Linked DNA regions of Drosophila melanogaster. Changing the gene in region 2 together with the main gene of any one other region gives a genetic interaction. Each region holds a gene or a part of one and is shown on either strand. Other genes may lie near its edges. The genes, in order: Plc21C, Galphaq and Syt1.

Evidence for each region.
Region 1: of Galphaq (region 2) and Plc21C, changing one enhances a phenotype caused by changing the other (phenotypic enhancement), as found in Drosophila melanogaster (one study listed by BioGRID).
Region 3: of Galphaq (region 2) and Syt1, changing one suppresses a phenotype caused by changing the other (phenotypic suppression), as found in Drosophila melanogaster (one study listed by BioGRID).

Annotation. Positions count from the first base shown.
Region 1 is NT_033779.5:306,491-314,423, forward strand, and holds the start of Plc21C (phospholipase C at 21C), read left to right. Parts: upstream 1-3,709; 5' UTR 3,710-4,115; intron 4,116-7,933. UniProt on the Drosophila melanogaster protein: The production of the second messenger molecules diacylglycerol (DAG) and inositol 1,4,5-trisphosphate (IP3) is mediated by activated phosphatidylinositol-specific phospholipase C enzymes.
Region 2 is NT_033778.4:12,610,740-12,618,672, forward strand, and holds the start of Galphaq (G protein alpha subunit q), read left to right. Parts: upstream 1-2,000; 5' UTR 2,001-2,107; coding exon of another isoform or gene 2,108-2,112; exon of another isoform or gene 2,113-2,140; coding exon of another isoform or gene 2,141-2,145; intron 2,146-2,827; coding exon of another isoform or gene 2,828-2,918; exon of another isoform or gene 2,919-3,606; intron 3,607-5,047; exon of another isoform or gene 5,048-5,090; intron 5,091-5,167; 5' UTR 5,168-5,557; coding exon 5,558-5,675; intron 5,676-5,800; coding exon 5,801-5,985; intron 5,986-6,047; coding exon 6,048-6,202; intron 6,203-6,332; coding exon 6,333-6,461; intron 6,462-6,716; coding exon 6,717-6,845; intron 6,846-7,055; coding exon 7,056-7,185; intron 7,186-7,247; coding exon 7,248-7,401; intron 7,402-7,464; coding exon of another isoform or gene 7,465-7,572; intron 7,573-7,703; coding exon 7,704-7,811; intron 7,812-7,933. Other genes in the region: Amph (amphiphysin), read left to right, coding at 270-350; CG45086 (uncharacterized protein), read left to right, coding at 2,108-2,112, 2,828-2,918.
Region 3 is NT_033779.5:2,794,625-2,802,557, reverse strand, and holds the start of Syt1 (synaptotagmin 1), read left to right. Parts: upstream 1-2,578; 5' UTR 2,579-2,649; intron 2,650-3,721; 5' UTR 3,722-4,072; intron 4,073-4,236; exon of another isoform or gene 4,237-4,726; intron 4,727-7,013; exon of another isoform or gene 7,014-7,069; intron 7,070-7,933. UniProt on the Drosophila melanogaster protein: May have a regulatory role in the membrane interactions during trafficking of synaptic vesicles at the active zone of the synapse. It binds acidic phospholipids with a specificity that requires the presence of both an acidic head group and a diacyl backbone.

The DNA.
Region 1 (7,933 bases), on a different chromosome or scaffold from region 2:
TGAATAACAACGCACTAAAAACGATGGCAGGTGCCCGCGCTCTTTCTCTCTCTTCGAATGAACGGATCGTCTCCAAGCTTTGAGATGCCGTAATCTCAGCTATTGACTCCCAGGGGGGTGGCGGGGTCAGCTCTGGGTGGCCGGCAGTGGGAGGAGGGCGGAGTGGTCCTAATCGATCGGGGGGAGTGATCTCATTGCATTGCCTCTGTGCTGAGCTAATCAGTGCATCTTATCAGTAGCTCGGGGGTTAGGCGGGGTTAGGAGAGACGCAGGTGCCTTGAGCGCAGGAGGGGCGGGTCAAAAGATCAAGAGATAAGCCCGGGAGCAGAGTTTGAAACTCTTTCGTTCTCTGCGGAGAATCGGCATAAATACTTGTTTAGAGTATAAAGGCACTTGCTTAACTATCGCATATTAAACTACATTTTATTTATTTATTTATTGTTGAATCACGTACTATGCATCCAATTGTCTCATGAATAACATTGTTGATTTACTACCATCCATGGCTTCAAACTGCATACGCAGTTGTATGGAATAATTTGACTCTGTTTCCTACCACAATACTTTCCCGGCTTGCCATATGCTCCATAATGTCGTTCTACCATAATGCTCTCATTATCTTGCCGTATATTTGCTGCCTCTTCCACTTCAATTGGCCCACTCCCCAAACTCCTCCCCGTCCGCCACTCACCCTCCAAGAATAACAACAACCAAAACAGAACAAGCAAAACATGTTGTAAATTATTTTTGTGTGCCGCACCCAGGCGCCATTAAAAAGCCGAAAGGAAATTTGGGAACTTGTGCTTGATGGGGAGGGTGGTAGGAGGGGTAGGGAGTGTGCGGTGAATACAAGTGTATAAAAGTGGCAGCACATATCGCACATAACTTTAATTACAATAACCACGCGTCATTGTGATGAGGGAGAGAGCGGGAAAGCAGTGGGGGCCAAACCCCTGGAAACCCCCCCCCCCTCTTGCTCATTCTTTTTTCAGCCACGCGTAGCTGAAAACATACCACCGCACCCCAACCCACCACCACCAATCGACAACCTTTCACCTGCCCACTCAGCGCAGAGCGCTCAACGCTCTATAAATAAATCTCATTAATAAATTAAACGTTTTAGCGCAGGAAATTCCTTCTCCAGCATCCACAACTTAACCCCAAACCAGAGCACCCTGCATTATTTTATAATTTCTTCTGGGGAGACGCTCGTGCTCGCAAACAGATCCGAAAAATAACCAGACTATACCCGATTCGATTCGATCCGATATGACGACGTCATCATGGCTTTATAAATAAATCAAGTGCGAATTTTTGAAAAGTTCTTCTCTGTTTGTTGCATTTGGCAAACACAGAGTCTGCCCGATATTTTTATTACGAATCAGTAGAATGTTCATTTCCCTTCGTTGCCAGTTTGCAATTGTTTTTCTTCGCTGGGTTGCTTGTCTTCCATTATTAAATTGCCTAAGGAAAGGTGAAACACCACCAGACTGATAAATAGACTCGATTATGGGGAATTATCATGAAAATACCATTATGTATGTTATTTGTTTTCAAATTCCCGGCCCTATGCAAATTCTGAAGTATGTAAGTGGAACATGAATAAAAAAATTACGGTCTTGCGGTTCGTTTATGATATGGGTCACACTGTACTGGTAAAGTTATCCATTATAAGTTGGTCTTTAATGTGGTTATCCGGAGGGGAATCCCCGTTCTGGAAAACTTCTTAGTTTTTCGTTATGATGTGCCTTAAAAGAGCTGCCGTGTTTATTGTGGCTTGGCTTTCCGAAAAGTTTAATTTAGTTACATTCGTCTGGGAACTCATGACCTTTGTAAACAAACAGACTGGCAGATAAAACACCTGTAAATCCCCACTTCAAAGCAGCACCACCACCCACAACAACAATGCCAGCAGCACCACCCACTCACAGTGGGCGCAACGTGAGGAAAGGCGGCGTGAGTTGGGACCGCTCGATTCCCACCGGATGTTAATGTTTTATTTGGATTTCAAATTTTCTGTTCGCTGTTTTTAATGCACGCTGATTTGTTTGGAAGAAAATAAACAATTTTGAAATTTATTTAGTTGGGGATCTAGGGATCGCTTGGTATGGAATGCCATGTGATCCCATGTGCGGCTGCTCTTTCGCATTTTATAGCCGAATAAATATGCAATGAGAATTGCTAGTTGCCATAAGTAGTTCGAGTTTATGACTGCTTGTCGATCCTATGGCCGAGCTCGTTCCCCACTGGGATGGGGGATGTTTGGTGACCCCGATGGGTGGTCGTGAGTCACGCCCGCAGCTTTCGTTCGGCACCCAATATTTGCATATCTTTTGTAGTCCACCTAGTGACCTTGGGGACGCCGAGCCGCAATCAATCAAGCGTACAAAACAGAGGGTGGAGGGGGAGGGGGAGCATCTTGCAACTGTCGCCGCTGTGGAGTCCCAATACACGGATACGGAGACGGAGACAGATACAGATACAGATGCAGAAGAATTTGTCTCACCTTGTCAATCACTTTTTGGAGGGCAAAAGCAGAAGTCGTGGAAAGGGTGGAAGGAAACTGAGGAGAACCACCAACGAAATATGTGGGTCAGGTCTTCAATGTTTTCCCGCATATTGGATGTCATCTTTCCCGCTGCCCCTCGGCGCTGACATATTTTCCGACTTTTTGGCCGATCTCTGATTTCCTATTTCGCGTTAATATTTTCGTATTTTCATACCCTATAGCATCCGTCAGTCGGGGGATATAGGTGTAGAATCTCTTTTAATTCGCAGACTACGTATGAATTTAATGATCTATTTTTTACATTTTTGTTATGTCACAAAAGGTTTTCCTACGCTTGGGCATAAAAAAGTTCTTACCTAACTAAGTCACAGGCATTGTGATGCATGAACAAAGTCGAAACATGGGCGGAACATCACGTTATGCGATGTAGAGCACTCGTTGAGCGAGGGTATTGGAACAGTCAGAACCCATATATCTGGGCTTCCTCTTCTCGACGGTTTTTGTTCCTCTATTTTTTTGTGGCACATGCGCGCGTTCCGAGACCGGACGATTTGACGCTGTACTCACGTACGGCGTATGTCGGGGCATTAAAATTAAATAAATATATATATATATTCCCGGCTGCAATGGGTAGCGGCAGACAAAACCAAAACTCAAATTCAAATTCAAATCGAGGCGAGGCGAGGCCCACTCAACAACGCCCAAATTGGCAATTTTAATTTGATTTTCTGGCCGTTTCAACCGCTGATTAGGCGATGCGATGTGACGGCGCTGTCCAAGTAAACATTCCGTTCCCCGAGTTCCACCGAAGGTTTTGCCAAACTATTCAGCAACTATTATCAATTCTGGTTCGCCAAGGGGGTTTGCGTTTGCCTGGCATTGTCGGTTCAAGCCTCATTGTTGCCGGACTGGCTTGTTTATTTGAAAATTATTCCCCGCTTGACATAACCCCACCCCTCGCACCTTGCAACCTCTAAAAGGAGGGTTCCCACAGGGGGGGGACCGTTCTCCCGTTATCAAAACATGAACATTTCGCCGCAAACGCTTTTCCCAAAACAAAAACAAAACCTGGCAACGCAGAGAGAAAGCTTCTCAAACAGAGAGAGGTTCTCAGGGAGAAACCGAGAAAATGCCAGAGAAGTGTGTAACATGGTAAAAGCTCGCGGCGAAATGTGCGAGACTGAGAAGCTTCAGCTCTCTCGTTTTTGCATTTCAGCAGCATTGAGATTTCCACATAGATTTTCCCAACAGACATTCGTCGTTCGCCGAAGCGTTCGGTCGTATTAGCGGAAGATTTTGGCCCGAAAACCCGCCCGAGATTTTCTCCGGAGGAACCCTCTCCGGGTCCCCAGAATCCGTATCCGTATCTGCAGCAGCCGAGTGCGTGTGTGTTTCTCCGTATCTGTGCGTTGTGACTAAGCCGACAGTTAAAAACTATAGCTAAACTAAAATAGGAGAGCGAATCCAATAAAAAATCCCATTACCACCGGAGAGGTTATCTTCGTTTGCCAGCGGGTGCAAAATCTGAAATTGAAATTTCGCTGCTTACGAAATACAAATTCCACTCAACGAAGTTTTCATCTGAAAGTCAAAAACTTTGGCACAGGTAACGCACCGAACAGAACCTTTTCACTCTGCGGATTTATCAGGGAGTTGAGTTTTGAGGGCGGAGGAAAACGATTCTCGAGTTCAGCACCGCACACACAAAATTAAATTAAAATACAATCTCATTCAGTTTATTTGTTCAGCATCGTTTTCTTTCACGGCTGCCTAATTGAAAATTGTGCTGAAAAATGCTGTTGCCCCCTTCTCCCCATCGTGCGTCTGCCGTTATAGGCAAACTGGTCGATTTCTATTCGAGCTACGCCAAATTATTTGTTGTGCCTCGCTTCCATTCTCGTTCCTTTTCAAGTTTAAATATTTCGCTTTTGATTTGGAAAACTTGAAAGATCTCTGTCGATAGCCAAGCTAGTGATCTGTCGCGGGGACGAAAGGCGTTTGTCAATGATTTTGCGGCGCTGCCGCTGTTGCCTTGCCATTGCCAGTTGTACTTGAACTCGTACCGAGCGCGTGGCGTGGCGTGGCGCGTATCTCGAAATCTTTGAGATACTGCTGGCTTGGAAATCCGAGAACGGGGCAGATAACGCTTCACTGGGTGGCTCGTGAATCACGCAAAGCCAGCTTTTGATTTGAGATCTCCCAACGATACGTGGCCTTTAGGACATTAAATACGTTTGGAAAACTAAAAAAAACCAAACCAGTTATTGCAATGGGTATTGGCCAGTCAGAGGTGGATATAGGTTCTTCACAGTTTTATGTTATAAGTAAGAAATACCATACCATAGTGTAACCTAAAAGGTATAACATTCATCTATACTGAAAAAGTCAATTTTATTAGCAATTAGCAACCATTCAATTTTGGAGCGCCTCGTCGCCCAATTGAAAGGGGAATCGTTGGAGAACCCCGATTCGAGCTTGTTATCAGGTTATGGCCAATCTGTGCGATGAATTCGAAGCGGGAAGCTGCAAAAAGCTAATGAGTAGCGCATCAGATATCACATCAGCTCCTGGTGCCAATTAGCGAAACGCTTTAAGTTGCCAGCTCTCTGTGTCTTCGCCTTCTTGCTATTCCGCTTCCATTTTGCAGCATCCACTTGTGTGTTCAGTTAGGTCCTGTTTCAGTTGCCACTCGAGGCATTTATCAAGTTGAGGCATCAGCTGCACCACTGATATGCAATTATCCCACTTGATTGCTGCACCACGCCCCTTTGTCTCCCTCGGCCTCCATTTCAAAGGCAGCTAGTTTCAATCATTCAAACACAATTAAGGCATTAAAGGACACAAGCGCCAGAAAGGACAATTAGTCTGCGTGGGTGAGTGTTTGGCTAATTATGCTGACATGGCCATGCCTCTGCTCCTGCTTCACTTCCACTCGGTTTTCCATTTTCCATTCTATCTTCATTCTCTACCCGCCTCATCCGATTCACCACTTGAGGCTGCTCATTAATTATTTAGCAGCCGCCAACGCGAGAATACAAAACTGAATAAAAGTCGCGCATACGCAACGTAGGTCACTGGGAAAATTAAACAACTATCGTACGTATGGACGTACACTGGAAAAAGGTTGTTTGCATACTGGCAAGACCTCGATTGTCAAAATAGTTCTGTATCCCTTTCTTCTGAAAAACGCATATAGTGGTTTTAAGGATATGTAAAGTATGGAACTTTTTTGAATATGCAAACCTAATACAAAAAGGTGAATAAATGATTTCCCTAGTCCTATAAATGTACGTAGTATTGCTCTAGGTGTATACAGTGTATACATTTCCATTTGAGTCCAGGCTTGTGTATCTTAAAACGAACCTGTTGTTAAATCCATGTAACTTAACCTGACCAACAATGTTGGAGCGCGACTTTCTCGCTGTGTGGCACCCATTTGGTTGCTCCTGGTGATAGACCATTGCACAGCGATCTATCATTATAATGAAGCGTCAAATCTAATACGTCGGACAATCCGGTCGACATGGGTGGGGGTGTGGTGTGTGTGGGGGGTTCCTACTCCTGCTCTCTCTCTGCTTCTGCTGATACTGCTCTGTCCCCAGACTGATAACGTTGACAAACTAGATAAAAGGGCGATAAAAATGGAAAAGAGAAGCAGACATATACGGAAGTGTTAAATTTAAAACAATAGACTAAGTGAAAACGTTACTCAGAAATTAAGTATTCGTTCTTATGCGATAAGCTCACCCGGATTCTAATTGTATTTCGTTTATCGAATTTACTTACTTTCAGCATCAACATTTCTCTTCAAATAGATAAAGTGTTACGCTAATCGTTGTGTTTTGAGAGTGCTTGTTGGAAAGAGTATCACAAATTCGTTTTATGCTATACCGAATTTTAATTCTTGGCGTACAAACAAAATAGAACTAAATTTGTGCGCGCAAACGTGTTTCGGGTGTGTTAGAATATATTGGAGTTTGTTTGCGGTGACACTGAAACGCGGTTTTAATTAATAATTATCATTTTCTGTCACAAATTCATTTTGTTTGCGGTGGCTTTATGTAAAATCCCACCTTCCCGCTTCTGTCGCCTATTCTTGATTATGCATGACCACAGTTGACGTGGAAAGCTGTCGTAAATTGACTGACCAACCTTGCCGCAATCAAAGCGATGGTTTGACATTAAAGTTATAGACCCGCAGAAAAGAGAAGAAGGATACATATCGAATAATTGAAGTGCCTAACAAACAAATTACCAGCCGAATGCACATAACTTAAGCAATTAATGTGTTTATTTTGGTTATCCGACGCGCAGATAGTCGAGCAATTAGCTGTAATCGGAATCCGTGGCAGTGGCAGACGATTTATGGCGGATCTGCCGGTTGTTCGGGTGGTGATGATAGTATGGTAATGAAACGAAAAACATCAGTGAATTTTATGTAGAAGCAATCCATCATGATAATGGCAGATAACATACGTGCCCTAATGTTGGGCTACCAACTGAGTTATCCTGATGTTATACTAGAATTAGGAGTGAGCTTCGAACGAAGCTTAAAAAACTCGATTCCCTATGTGCCTAAAAGTATGCTTTGGGGTCTGAACTTCCGTATTTTCACGTGCCCTCAGAAAAGCGTCCTTAGCCCAGGTTGATTTTACATTTCAACGGAGGCCAATCAAACATTGAACTCATCGACGGCGATATAAATAGAAAATTTAGACAAACAACTGCCACAGGCCAACGAATAGGGGTGCCCAAAAGTGAGGTGGGAATGAAGATTACCTCGCGTGCAATTGAAAACAATTGTTTTGTCAATATTTTCACAATTCGCCTATCGTAGGGCATTATCCATTGGGCTTGGGTAACTAATTCTAGAACACAATCAAATCGATGAAGAAATATTGGAATTATAAATTGCTCCCGAACGGTTACTTTTCGCAAGTTTTCCTTAAAAAAAAAACCCAAAAACAAAGTGTAACAAAAGTTTTCCAATTGGAGGCGCCCCCATACCCACTCAGCTGAAGGGGTATTTTGGGGGGTTTTCAAGGATCCCGAGGAAAATTCGTTGATGAAGGTTGCCAGCAAGAACAACCAGAAACAAATTGTAACTCGAATTTACGGCCGGGAGCTGTTGTTTTGGGGTGTCATTGAACTTAATTTTGTTTTTCTTTTGCTTAACCACACCCCCGTTGATTTTCCATTCTACACCCCTGCCCAACGCTTTATATTTTTATTTATTTGTGTACTTTATGCTACCGATATGAGCATGAGCGACTGCTGAGCACCCAAGGGCCGGCAAGTTGTTGACTTACACCCAGCGAACCCTCATCTCCACTCTGAGTGATGAATTTTCTGTTCGAATAAGGAAAATGGTAAGGAAAACGTGGTAGGAAAATAAGAGAAAGTCCCGCAAAGAAATTTTTCTTT
Region 2 (7,933 bases):
GGTTGGCTTACCCTTTGCAGATGATGTAATTATATAACTTCAAGCTACTTTCAATGTTAATGGGATTGTCTGTCCTCATTTCCATAAAATTCCATCAATTTAAGTAAGCTAAACTTGTTAGATTCTATCATTTGCAAGGGTATAACTTCGGAATCCGGAGATACACATTCCTTTGAGCTTTGCACGCGCTAGTTTCCCCCTCCGCGCCAAATGCAGATCTCAGCACTTCCTGTCTATATTGAGTTCAGTTCTTTATTGCCAATTTACAGGAGGAAGGCTGGCTGATGGGTCAGAAGGAGGGCACCAACGAGAAGGGACTCTTCCCCGCCAACTTCACGCGTCCCATCTGAAGCGACAAACTGGGGAACAACTGGGCTAGCAACGAACCATCAGCAACTTCAGATCAACCATAAAAATCTTTACGAACGGAGGTCCAAATCCAAATACAAACTTTTGGCCAAATTTTCTTTGTGAGCGCTGCTTTTGCTTTTGTCCAATTAATAAATTCTTGTTTTGTGAAATGTATTCGGTAACTGGCAATCCATTTATAGCGATTGTTCGTTAGGGCAGTGCTTCCAACCATAAAATTGTTATTGTTAACACAAAGAAGAACGAACACACAGATGAGGAATGAGAGAGAGAATATTTTGAAAATGTTTCAAACATTATTTTTTAGTTCTAAGTTTCAAGAAAACCTAAAGCATAAACCTACGTATACATATATTATTTGTTAATCCTATTATTGTGCTCATAATTAATGCGAACAAAACGTATCTAATTTGTAATTTGTTAATGGCAAACCACAAATGTAAAACATATCACTCGAGAGCTAGAGTAATTGTTAAACAAATCAAAAGTCGGAGGAGATAGCCAGCCTGAACCTTTTGTATTTTGTGAATTTTGCAAATATGTAGTACGAGTTTTTTATAGTCAATTGAATGTATTTTTGGGGCGATGCAAAAAGGCCAGATGTAATTCCTCTGTGGTCCCCGAAGTTTTGGAAATTGTTTCAAGTAACAACATTAACGTTTAGCGATTACGTGTATCTTTAATTTGTACTTTGGTTTTTAATTTTTCGTTTGAGAGACTCGAACTAGCTACAGCTTTATAACGCGAACACAATCCAATAGTCACTAACCGATCGATTCGATGTTTTTATTTTATTTAACTCGATTGTAAATCACACGAAACCCGAAATAATTGTTTAAATTGTGCACACACTGTAAAGTTATTATTTTAATTTTATTTAATTAATTTAAACACTTATTTATCGCATGAACATATTGAACAAATGATAATAATTTACAGAAAGCCAATAAAACATAGATTAAATAATACAAGTCTTTTGATTTGGCGGGCAATGTCTTCTGATTTCGAAGATAGAAAGTGCTTGTAAATTTGACGATTGACCGGCGTTTTACGATATTCGCATTTTTTATGTTCTAAATGGTAATTATACACACATATATTTAGTTATTTAAAATTTACGATCATAGTCATTGGTTCGGGTCACAGCTTAACGAATATGGAAGTGCATGGTAAGTGTATTCCCTGTTGTTAGAGAGTGAAAAGGACACAACATTTTCAGTCTTTCCTAAAGCTATCAGGCATTGCCATCCTGAATTATGAGAATATGGCGCACTGCCATCCTTATTTTTAAGGATGTCTGGCGTTGCCATCCTTATTTGAAGGATGTAAGGCGTTGCCAACCTTATTGCTAAGAATGTGTATTGACACACATGAATAGAAATCCGTATGGCAACACCGACATGTGTTGTGGTGGGGGTGGCAACTAAAAAATACCAAAAGTAATATATTTTCAAATTAAGCTGAACTGCCAGGAAATCCGTTTTTATTTGTTATAAACCACTTCTATTAGTTATTATGCGGCAAATAAAACTCCTTCCTTATGTAATACAATGAAGACTTTGATTTAAGAGCATCTATTCCATCATCGATATCTTGCCACCACTAGTTCAAATGCCGTCCGATTGGTTTGACCATCGATATCGACGAACGATAGGGCCGATAGGTTCGGACAAATAACGCCTCCTGCTATCGAAAGTCGGGTCGTGCGTCAACGTTAGCGAAAAATGCAAAATTAAATATGTTGTGAGTAGCGAGCGATGCCAAATCGAATATGTTGTGAGTTTCGAGCAAGATCCCCGTCAAACGGACTCCCCGCCAGCCAGCGGTCGCCATCCGCAGCCGCCTGGCAGCCACCCGAAAAAGTCCCCCCCTCGACAAAAAAAAAATTTAGCAGCACCGAAAACGTTCCCCGAAATGCCAGTGTAAAGTGTATTTTTTCGCCAAACAGTGCTGGCCATTAAGCAAGGCCCCCCCATAATTGTTAAACAAACGGCGAATCGAATCGCGAAATCTTCGAATCGCATTGCTATCAAAATTTTTTCGTTTCGTTAACGCCCTCGCTTATATTTGTGTGTATTCGTTCGTAAAGCAGTGCGCAGCAAGTCGCACTGCTTGCCCGAGAAAAACACTGCGAATAGGAAAAAAGTTGAGAAATTTAAAAAAGAAATAGTTTGTTTAACTCAATGTGGTTTTCTTTTGCCACTAAACGGTGCATGCCAGCGAGAAGTTAGTTGGGGTCGCGTAACTACATAGTGGATTGTGCATATTTTTGGGCTTAAAACGGGTGGGCTAACCAAAAAATGAAAAAAAAAATGGTAGCTGAGGGTCGTGTGTGTTTACCTTAGCCAGTATGATGATGATTTTCCGGAATGCATATTCCCACCTTACCACCCATAATACCACCCCCCCCCCCCATCGTTCTTCTCCTTATCTCTCTGTCTCTCTTCTTTACTTGCAGTTCCACTGCATACAGAAAAATAAACAAATACAAGAAGCATAAAATATGCAGAAAATTAAATACAAAAGGAGCCACTAAGTGTTTCGTGTGAAATCAATTTGAAGACCGCTCGTCGTCGTCGTTGTCGTCGTACATACTTTTCCGTTTCAATTACACTACAATGAATATTTGTTGAAACTTCGTTGCATTTACAGACTGGTGTTTAAAAACAACAACAACAAGAAGAAACGTTAAAAACCAAGAACAACAACAACAACAGCACTCATACACACCGAAAACTAGAAGCAAAAAGGGAAAATTATATATAGATATATATCTACATATATAAATAGTATCGTATCACACATTTACATTAAAAGGAAGCCGAACAGACGTTATCGTAACTTTTATATTAAAAAGCACCAGTAAAAAATATATAACCAACTACACACGTTCCTTAAAAACAAATGTTTTCCAAACCGCAAACCAACTAAAAACGAAATGCTTTTGAAATTAGTTTAAGCTAACTAAAAAACGTAAGACCAACCAACGCACCGCAAAGCAAATCGCGTGATTAAACTAAAAATATTTAAAACAGACCGAACATCGGCAGGGAACCAAAAACAAAAATTAAAAGAACACGATCAATCCGGAAGAACTTCAATCGGCGTACTAAAACCCGAAATTCAATATTTTTTGTATAACATAGTGGTAGCTAAAACAAATCGAGACGATAACCGGAACATCTTTTTGGAGAATCTCGTCTGAATACCTTTAGTCCCGTGTCTCCGTAATGTTAAGTAAGTAATACTGAATGCTCATTGAATACAAGAATCGTAATTTCGTGGTTAATTTTTGACTCCGACCACTTGTTGGTTGCCACTAAAAACTGGCCGAAATATATTATAATCCAAAAATCGAATTATTCTCCAGGCGAGTTTAATGGATTGTCATCCATCTTATTCAAATCCATTCGAATATATTTATTTTGTGTAAAAGCCATGCTTTCATCATAATGAAAGGGTACTTTTGTATCTAAAATATGAGCTCATAAATTCTCCAGCAAAAATAGGCTGAGGATGCGATAAGGAACTGCATGAGTAACGTGAAGCTATTTCCGGCTTAGAAATGGTTTTTCGGAAATGGGTTGCATTAGAACAGTGATTTTCAGAAGAGCAGTAGTCGTCTAAAGATTAAGAAGTCAAATCAAACGTTATCTCAGAGTGGTTTATCATCAGCATATACAATATGTAAGGCAGATAAGACCAGTTCGCGGTAGGTAAATCTCCCTCTGATTTGGTGGCATGATATATCTGGCAAACTATTGTTAAAAAACGCTTCATTGCGCCAATTGCGTGCCCCTGCCCCTGAATTTTGCTGCCACTGCTAATTCGATTTTGTGGCTTTGCTCAGCGAGCAATGTGTTCCGAGTGCAGCCCACTAATCCTCCCGAATACTATGCGTCTAGCCATCATTATCCAGATCTCCATATTCGCCCACCTGAGCCCGCCAAATTCTCCTGGTCAGACTTTTGTCAAAATTATTGCTAGGTATTCCATCGATATTTGGTAGTGGTCATGCTGAAAGCCTTACCTCGACCCATGTCAATGTGTTCGCCAAACGAAATTGGATTAGCCATCACTCGATATATAAACTAGGGGTTGGAAAAGAGAGGAAATAGCACCAGTGGTTATAGGCTATATTCTATAGGCATGCCCTATGCTGAACCCATGAATGAACCGCGGATTCGGGTGGACTCATATCTTTTAACGATAAAAGTACATTAAGAGTTTTAAAGTTTATGCAATGATATTCCAGTTTTGTGTATAGAGCTGTGTTTTTGCATCATAAGTTTCGGTATGTGACTTTTTTATTTCCGAATTAGAATGATATGCCAATTCTTCTTATCCATAGACTGCTTGGTCCACCCAATAGGAGAACACTCTCGCTAACTTGTGGCCAGCGAAGCCATATATTTTCCAAAATCAGCTTTCTTGCATTGAACTTGGCTGAGGGGCATTGTGGGGAACGCTTCCTCAATCTATTGCCACCTGGTAGAGGGCGATCCCAGGTCTGCGCAGAGAGAGCAGGCCCAGAACTTAGAACCAAAGCCAATGCCATGGTCAGAGGAAGTCCCGGGGTAGTCATGGGTAGCCATGGGCAATCTATATCCGACGTCGTCATCGACGTCGCCAGCTAGTGGGGCAGGCTAGCAAATATGAAATGTTAATTGTCAGCACGGGACACAACGCGGCGAACTCTCGTTGGGCCAACAACTGTGGTGGTCCGTAGCAGCAATAGTTGGATAGATCCTACAGTTCGGTTATGCAAGCACTAAATCAAAGCTTTGTCTCCTTGCAGATGTTCTTGGATCGTTCGATGTGGTCTTTGTTCATTAGTAACCATCACTCTCAGCCTCCGAGTCACCGAAATCTGGTCAAGAACTTAGCGTAGACCCGTAATTAGCAATAGCAATAGCCAAAGAGAGCCTGGATCGTAAGCGCTGGAGGAGGTCTGCAGAGCGAGCAAAGCCGAAGTACAAATGCACCAATCGAAACTACAACAGAATCTATAACTTGGAACGGGTGAATTCAACGCCCGCCATACAACCAATTAGCTAGGTGTCCGAGGGTCCAGAGAAGGGAGTCCAGGAGACCATCCCACCATCCAAACAGCATACATTTTATATACGGAACGGTCTGTCGAGCGTAGTGGCAGCAGCACGCGAAAGCGTCTATAAATCTAGTTAGCATGGAGTGCTGTTTATCGGAGGAGGCCAAGGAACAAAAGCGCATCAATCAGGAAATCGAGAAGCAGTTGCGCCGGGACAAGAGAGATGCGCGCCGCGAGCTTAAACTGCTACTACTGGGTAAGTGGAGCATGGCCCATTTCGATTGCACTTAGCCTGGCTTAATGCAATTGAAGCCGCCTCGCTAATTGCATTGTTTGCCCGCCGCTTATGGCTATATATATTTTCCAATCCTATATCCCCAGGCACTGGCGAGTCCGGGAAGTCCACATTCATCAAACAGATGCGTATTATCCACGGCAGCGGTTACTCGGACGAGGACAAGCGTGGGTACATCAAGCTGGTTTTTCAGAACATATTCATGGCCATGCAGTCAATGATCAAGGCCATGGATATGCTGAAGATTTCCTACGGCCAGGGAGAGCATAGTGTAAGTGAAACATTGATCTAATTGAAGTCACTGAATCTTAAACAACATCTTACGATCCACAGGAACTGGCCGATCTGGTGATGAGCATCGATTATGAGACCGTTACCACGTTCGAGGATCCATACTTGAATGCCATCAAAACGCTTTGGGACGATGCTGGCATCCAGGAGTGCTATGATCGTCGTAGGGAATATCAGCTGACTGATTCAGCCAAATAGTAAGTTAACCGTTGGCATGCAAAGGGAACGGTTTAAATCCGTCCGCAAAATGACCGAAAAACGAACTGAAGAGACTGAAACTACCGAAACGACTATGCAAACTAAATCAATTATCTTGTCTATGTATAGTTATCTGAAGGATCTCGATCGTGTGGCTCAACCTGCATATTTACCCACTGAGCAAGACATTTTAAGAGTTCGTGTGCCCACAACAGGGATAATTGAGTATCCCTTTGATTTAGAAGAAATCAGATTTAGGTACATACCATCTTTCTACCCTTACTTCGTTGCATGTGCATGACCTCTTGTTTGGTTATGGTTAAAATTTATTTTGTACTTTGTAACTACACACTTAAGAATTTCTTTAGCGCATGTCTCTTCAAGCAAACAATTCAGGGACTTAGTTAGGGCCTTCAGCGAAATTGATGGACTGAGACGGGTTGCAAAACTATTTTTGCCACTGCTTTTGGTTCCGTTCATTGTTTTAAAAGTGTATTAATTTATCTAATTTAGCTACTTGAGCGATCTAGCTCGAATTGAACAGGCTGATTACTTGCCAACCGAGCAGGATATTCTGCGTGCTCGAGTGCCGACAACTGGCATTCTTGAGTATCCATTCGATTTGGATGGCATTGTGTTTAGGTATCTATTAAAAATATCAATTGGTAATTACCGGCAAGGCTAGTAATGTAAATGGTCATTGTAAAGCTAGTGAAGACGATTTCTTACAATTTAGTTACTAATAGATTCGTTGCTTGCGCTCTAGAATTAAATGCTTGTATGTTTGGCCTTATATGTAGTTAATTTGTTGGTTAACTTTTCTTACAATAATATATTTTTCTTAATAAACAGAATGGTAGACGTCGGTGGTCAGCGATCCGAGAGAAGAAAGTGGATTCATTGCTTTGAGAATGTGACATCAATTATATTTTTGGTAGCGCTATCGGAGTACGATCAAATCTTGTTTGAATCTGATAATGAGGTATGATTTCAAGTTATGAATATATTTTTTTTAAACAAATAATCACCTGTACGCTTTCACAGAATCGAATGGAGGAATCTAAAGCTTTATTTCGTACTATAATTACATACCCTTGGTTTCAAAATTCGTCAGTTATTCTTTTCCTGAATAAGAAGGACTTGTTGGAAGAGAAAATAATGTATTCGCATTTGGTAGACTATTTTCCTGAATACGATGGTAAGTGTTCCGCATGATAAAGGTGGCCATAATTATGTACGATTTTATGCGGCAATGAACCAGGTCCAAAACAGGATCACGCTGCGGCCAAACAGTTCGTTCTGAAAAAGTACTTGGCCTGCAATCCAGATCCCGAACGTCAATGCTATTCGCATTTCACAACGGCCACAGGTGGATTTTCACCTTATGTACTTAAGATCTATGTAATTGCCTTAAATCGCCAATATCATCCGTAGATTATTTGCTAGTTTTCGTAGAACCACGCTAGACGTAACTTCATATTCGCCTTCTTATCGAAACAGGTCCTCAGCGAGATGCAATAACGGCCCGAGAGTTTATACTGCGAATGTTTGTAGATTTAAATCCAGATTCCGAAAAAATTATCTATTCTCATTTCACGTGTGCTACAGGTAAGTTTGCTGCCAGTTCTGTGTTTGGTCAGAAATTGTGTGTGGATGTGATTTTAGTTTTCAGCCTAAAAAGGACTGGTCAAAAGGTAAACTTTTGTGTGAAAAACATTTACATTTGCATA
Region 3 (7,933 bases), on a different chromosome or scaffold from region 2:
CCCAAAGCAATTAGCCAAGGCGTCCGAGTGCCAAGGCGTCCACGCATGCACCTCGTGTCTGCCGGAATTTCGAGTTCCCAACCGCTCGAGATGATGAACGCGCCAACCCGTGACGTTGCTCCTCCGCCAGATGACGATGATGACGATGACGACGACGACGTCAAGTTGCCTTTGTTGTCACCTCTTTTTGCATTTGTTGAAAATAGCACAACGCTCTTTATCGCCGACTAGTGTGGCGAAGCGACCCGATCTAAAATTAGCATCCACGAATATAGCGTTTCATTTCCACTTATTTTCGAATTGATGTGGTCAGTTTTTATGGCCCCCGAGTGACACTCGAGCCAATCCGTACCACATGCCCAAAGTTTGCGGGACAGGTGCTAATGAATGGTATATCTAGATTGTATAAGAATTAGTGCTTACTTGGAAAACGGAAAGATTATTCGGGTGCGCTTTGTTTAGTTTACAATTAGAATGATATGATGACGCTATTGGTACATATTCATAAGTAACTAAGAAGCCTTGACAAATTTTGTGATTTAAACTGATAAAAAAACCAATTACACAGCATTAATGATAATTAATTTGTCAATGGTTTCTGTGGCAGATAAGCTCATTAGGCATTAACCAATCGACCTTTGTCGCACACGTTGGAATCCAAATATATTTGCCAAGAATTCGAACGCAATCTACGTGATTCATGTATTCATACAGCGAAGACAAAGTCTAAACCTGGTGAAATTATCAGCTATTTCATGTAGATTAGAAGAAGTGAGAACTTCAGTTGTGCCTATTGCACATCTGGATTGTGAGTATAAGCACTTGATAAGGTGCAAGTGCCGAATAAACCACATATGCAAAGCAAATAAAACCAATGGCCATTATAGGTGGCACGTGTAGCCTTGCCATAACCTCGACCACCAAAACGATTGATACCACACGGAATCAGAAACATAACATAGGAAAAAACCAAACATTCGCTGATTGCGAGTCTAATCGGGTGATGCAGGCGGAAAGAACACTATTTTTTGGGGGTGGGAAACTTCGCATTACCTCATCAAAGTTGCCCCAAACCAAACCAAAGCAATCATGCCAATTGCCCCAATTCAAATCGATTAGTCTCGATGACACAGCAACCCCAATAATGCAATTGCCCCACGGCCAAATCGGATCGAGCGCGTGCCGCCTCGCTTATCGCCATTTGGGAGCAAGTTCAAGTGACCACCGACCAAGAGCTGCTGCTCCCTGTCCACTTCCCACTGATAACTGATAGTGATAAGTGCGTAAGCGAGTGCGTGTTTACATTCCGCTCTTCGCTTCAATCATCAATCATCCGCGATCGATCTCGATCGATTTGAGCCCGAGGACTGGCCGTTTAATTAACTTCTTCGCTAGCGATTACCGATTGCCGTGCGAGGGTTCCCAAGATAAACGATATGGGAAATCACGAACCCCGAGTATGGCCAACCGCCTGATTGAGGCGTGAAGGTGACCAGCACTATCGAATATCGTGATTTATTTGCGCGTCGTAAAGGATTGTTAATGATTCACCCGATATAAATACATAACTCATAGGAAAGCAAGTCGATAAGTATTTCTGTTCAAAGAAGTATGATTTAAGATCGTATCTGCTTTGATTTTAGGTTACTAATAGTAACTTACTATGTATTTGTATTCCTATAGTATATTTATTCAAAACATTTAAAAATATATCCTCATTGCATGTAAAAACTCAGCTACTCTCTAGGGGGAAATCACGATTATAAACTATTTTTGTGACAAAGTATTAATTAAATTATATTTCATAATTATTGTGCTGACATGTCATTAAGATGGACTTGTCAGCCCAAAAGTAGGCACGACCTTTTAATAATGCATTTCCAAAACCAAATAAATTGCCTGGATGGATCGGATCTATTGAAAAAGATTTAATTTCACAGTCATACTATTTTGGCTTATCGTTAGATAAGTAATTTGTTTTGATTTTTTGTGAAATATACGATACAGTGCCGCCATTTACATGGCAAATCTCAGCTTTCATAGGCGAAGGAAAAATAGTACGGAAAGTGAAACTTGGCACAGAAAAGCTTTGCTCTACAGCAAATGGCAACATTGTGTGCCATTGAGACACTTCCGCCCCAGTACGCATGCACCAAAAAACATACTGCGAACAGGTTCTGAAGGAGCTTTCAACTTTACATGTGATTCCCAGTCAGATGTTTACCTCCTTTGGGAAAATCTAGAGAGAGATATAGTAGGGATTTTTGAAAATATGTATGTAAAGGTACTAGACATGAGATACTGTAGTAGTTATTCAACTCTTACTTATGAAGGATGCATTTTATGGTAGTGCCTATTTTATGATTATCCTCCTTTGCATATCATACAGACGTAGGGGCTCAGCCATGTCCAGCTGGCCTAAAGTCTTCCCCTCCGAGATTTCCGCTGCCCAAAAGCTCCCCCCACGGTGGACACCGCCCCGCTCACCCGCTGGCCGAGCGGCCAAAATCGATGCCCCAACCGGTTCGCTCTCGCGTTTTGGCGAGTGGCCCAAGCTTTTCAGCGCTGCTCCTGGAGCGTGTGGGCCAAAACGCGAATGAACATCGACCGTGGAAGTTGACTGCTGAAGTACAAAGCGCTAGGCTGAAGGTGAATGGGAAAGAAAAATTCTAGAGGCTCATAAAAAGTGGCAATGCCCATGGAAAATCATTCAAAAATGTGATGAAAAAATTATGAAAATTAAACAGAATTGGTTGAAAGCAAAGCAAAAGTGTTGAAAGTGTTTTCCAATTTGTTATATAAATGAAAAGGCCATCGAAAGCCCCGAAATGTATAGTGCGCGTGTGTATGTGTGTGTGGTGTGGGTGCGTGTATGCGACTGTGTGTGTGCGAGTGTTTAGCACGCGCTGACAAAAAAGGAGAACATTTTTTGTGTATCAGAATTTTTCGCAGCAAATGTCGAGAAAAAATGGCAGCTAAGCAAGAAAATTTTAATTGAAAATTCCAATGTGCAATGCGAAGATGAAAGAAGCGCTGAAAAATGGGCTATCATTGAAAGTGAAAACGCATGTGAGCCACTTGCGGGGATATTGATTTTTCCCACCCGACTATTGTGGTGCTGTAGGCCAGTCGAAAGCCAGGATTAAAAAGCATATCAATGTGAATTCGGAAAATCCGAATCCGCAGTCCTTCAACGCCCTATAATTAAATAATAAAAAATTAAAATTGAAATGAGATTTTTAACTATCAACTTGAAGTGTCTGAGTGCGAGAGAAAAAAGGAAAGCTCAATTCAAGCCAAAAGAGGCCCTGAAAAGGACGAAAGAAATGGCCCTAAGAAAATCTCTATCCTGAATTTGCTTTCTTCGAGGAAAAAGCGAATTTGCCAACCTCCCACTCTCTCTCTCTCTCTCTATTTTTGTCTCTCTCTGCCCACTCACCAACACGCACACACATGCTCTTTTGGGCAAGGAGACACAACACACAGACACACACACAAAGCCGAGTTCGCTCTATCAATATTTACGCACACCATTGTATTTTGCTATTACGTATACGCTGCGTATCTCTTCAACTCTCTCACTCACTCTCTCTCTATATCTCTCTCTCTCTCTCTCTTCCTCACTTTCCGCTGACATCCTTTGTACTGCAAAATATATGCAAATAAATCTAAATAAATTGAATTAATTTCAATTAATTTTATTACAAATTATCCAAAAAAGTATACGAAATTCATGTGAGACTAGCGAGCCGCGGCCTCACTAGCCAAAGCCAGTCACAAAAAACCAAAAACATAAATCAGGCAGCAGCAGCAGCACACATACATCGACAAGCGCCAGGACCCGCATCACCATATCCTTCCTGCCAAATAGTCGCCACTGCTGCCGACCCTCCCCGCTCCCCTCGCAGGAGTCACGCTTCGTTAAACGCTGCTCAAAACCCATCATCCTAACTAATAAAGCGGACGATAAACAAGCGAATTAAGTACCAAAAACGACCGAGCTATTAACGCTAGTCTGGATCCCAATTGCTGATTGGAAAGGAGAAACATTGGCAGCATTTCTGATTAGGGGGTGAGTGTTGGTATTTACAAGAACGTAGCACACTTTTTGGGGCAGTCCATAGAGTGAATGGAGAAACATACATAACTAAAGGGTTGCTGCAGCTAAAGAAAAACTAATCTCTAAGCTATCAGAGAAAATGTGATTGCTTATTATTCTAAGATACAAACATTTCCCATGGTTAACATTCATCTTGAATTATATTAATATCTAAATAATCAAGTTAATTAATAGATTCACAAAAATTTGCAGGAATTTCCTTTACCAATTAAACCCAAAAGGTCTGAAATACTTTGGGTTTATTAACTTGATTAATTGCCAGACTGCCAAATTCTCTGCCCAGTGCCACACATCACTTGTTCATCGTGTCCTTTCTTATCTTCGTCTAATAAGAACTAAACCTGATTTAGTCCTGCTCTTCGCTAATTAGCTTTGGACAGCCCGAAGTTGGGCTGGAATTCCTCGGAGGGCAGGCTATTAAGGGCATTGCCGAAGCATAGCAATAAAAATGCTGCAAACAAGCTCGGCAGGCCGCACATAATTGCCAATAATCAAGTTGGCCCGAACGGCAGCGTAATTTTGACCCTTCGCGTCGCCCGAAAATCCTTTTGTGTGAAATTCGAGAATATGAATGAATTGTTTGCACGGAGTCTATATTTGATTTTGAAAACATCGAGACGGATTGTTCAATGAAAGCGAAAAGCATAATGATGTGGAAAATTGGTTTTCTCCGCCAGGCATTCTTCTGGCCTGAGGCAATGTCGGGCTCCAACGTCTAGCTTGGATTTTCCTTCATGTTCATTTCTTTTTTTTTTTATTTCCTTTGCTATTTTCCGAGTTTTTATTTTGTTGCCTTCTCTGGGTTATGTGCGCAGTAAAGAGAGCAGAAACAGAAACAGAAAGAGAGAGAGAGAGAGAGAGCTGTGGGCATGTGTGGCTTTTCCGCTTTTCCATCCTTCCGCTCTCATAGTTTTCCACTCTCCGGCTCGCCAAAAAGTTTAACCGTTTCCCCATTCGTGAGCTTCGAGAGCCTCCTGGCCATTTTCTACGCGATTCGCCCGTATTACGTGCGTGGGTTCCACAGATGTTGCCATAGATCCGAATCCGAACCCGAATCATATTGCGAGCTCCATTTGCTCGCTGGCGGGTTTGTTTGGACCCGGTAATGGGTAATGACTGCCTGTCCAATCCATCCCATGTTAATTTGTTTTGACAGCTTGATGGTAAGACCGGTAGAAAACTCTATTTTTACTCGGGTTCTTCGTTGCTTACTCGCAGTATCCTTTTACCATTTATCTTATCGCCATGCGAACCCCGCGCTAATCTAAAATGCCCAGCCAATTGCCGTTATCTGTGCTCCACTTTTTGTCACTGCATTGCACCACCCACCGGGCCACCAACCCAGCAGCCCACGCACCCTTATCAGCTTTTTCTGCACCACCGCCCACAATTTATGAAAAAGCAGCAGACAGCTGCCTATTTATAGGTCCTTCGCCAAAGGTCAAATCGTAGCAATTATTACTAGGAAAGCACACATTCCTCTTATCGTCCCTAAATTGGAGCTCCGAACTGAGCTTTGATTAATTTAGTAGGGTCTTCGACACGAAAGTTCTGTTCATATTGAGTAAGTTCATCAAAAGTGGTAATTGAATTTTACAACGTTAAGTGGAATGCTGATTTTTGGAACTTATTAGGAGATTTCAGTGTACCTTGCTTTATTTGCTCATTTCAATTATAATACTTTTCCGAGACTGGCTTTCAAAAGCAGTACTTCCTTCATGTTTATGGCACTTTTGACAGTTACTGGAAATGTTTTGCCATCAATCGAGTGCTCAACAATGAACTCACTGACCACTCAAGCGTCTTACTACCAATAACAAATACTGGAAGCAGCTGTTTTGGCCCTAAACATAATTTACACTTTAGCACGAAACGAAGCCGTTTTGAACTGCGTAGTTTGTTATTTAGCTGCCACTTCTTGGTGCCCAGACAAGTGGGCACCGCAAAATAACCAGCACACCCATACGCCCCGTTGACCCGTGGGCAAAAAAAAAAAAAAAAACAGTGCCACGAAATGCTGGCAGAATGACAAAAGTGTGGCAACTGGCGCATACAATATTTGTGACCTTCTTGTGCCTTCCTGGAAATCACAGTAGCTGCACATCTTGTTCCTATTAATGTTAAGTTCTTTTTCTTGCGGGTTTTTCGGCCCCTTATGCCAGGAAACATAATTCAGCATGAGATTTTTTGGTGCATAAATAAAATATGAATAACAAAGTGGTCCACCTTTGGGTGATTGCCATTTTCCGGGCAACTTTCGGTAGCTAGGTGTTTCTGATTGTTGCGTCCACATTTATTATGGATGAGTCTTTCGGAGGGTAGAAAGCCCTTGTTTATCCATTTTATTTATCTGCCACTGGGCTGCAACGCAATTTGTCAGGGAATCACACGGAAATCGTGACATCTCCCAGCTTTCCACTTTTTGCTGCCACATGACTGGTTTTCCCCTTCCTCCATCTCAAGGAGTCATTTCCAGGCAGCTTCTGTGCCGCACAACTTGTCCTAGATGCATTTAAATTTATTTATTTCTCGGTAATTTTCCTTTTTGTCCTCAAGTGGCCAAGAGTCGTGGTCGCTCATTCTAAAAAGTAAAATAAGTTAGTGCATTTAAAAGTAGGACAACATTTAAAATTTATATTGATCATGTTAAAGTTATGATGTTTATCAATTGTGCACTCTTAAATAATTTACAGAGAAATTGTCTGTCTTAAGTTTAATCTTCGCGAAATACGAGATGAGCTGGCAAAAACTCATTTAAGAAAGCGATAAGCGGAGAAAAGAGACAGCTGTTTATTATTCATATGCAAAATTGGTGAAAAGTAAACAATTTCATTAAATTCGTGATAAGAACATGTATGTATATTAGTCCAGCAGCAGTACTTTTATTTAGTCGCTCTAGTTTAACTGTGAGGTATGGACATCAAATAAGTATGTGATTAAGTTATACAGGTAAAAATTATATATAAGAAATATTTCTATAATTAGTTTTCATTACTTAAGCCATGATGCATGCCTTTTTATTTGAAAAATATGTTTAGCTTAATTTTATCGATTTTAAAGATGCCTTTTTCGACCCAAAACTGAATTAAATCGCAAATTGCGTTTGCCTAGAAGGCAATTAACCCGCATAACTTAATTTCGCACATTATTCATGCAAATTGTATTGTATGTTGAGCAAACACAGAGTTTGCATCTAAATTTTCCACCCGCGTGGCATCCACAACTTTTGAATTTTAAGCATATTTATGGGGCCAAATAAACAAAGCTGCCTTCAGGCTTTTCATTTAAGCGGCTTGCCGAGTTTTTTCGAGTTTTCCGAGTTCTTTTCCATTTTCCGTTGGTGTGTGTTAGCGTGTTTCAGGGTATGGATGTCCTTTGACGTCATTTGCAAAGTAAACAAGAGAAAAGCCATAGGAGAAGCATCGCTTTCCAGTCATTTTGGCTTTAAATTGCTCTACACACACAGTTTGCTTTTCTTTCTTTCTGGCTGAGAGGATAAGTGGTTTTGGTGACATATTAAGTTATCTTTGGCTCACGAGATGCTTTATGGAAACAATGAGATGCAAACAAAAGGTGAACAAACAATGGATAGCGGACTTGGAATATCATTTAACATAAAATCAATTTGACAATAGGATTCCTCGTGAATAAATTTCATATTCTGCTGTTCAGATTTAAGTGAACCAATAATATTCCAATGAAATTCGACTTTTAGTATTCTTTCGGCTGACATGTGTCGTTCAACTTTTGATGGATTACCCAAATTGCAGTCTTCAAATGAGAGAAGAAATTGCCAATCAGCGAGACATAAGT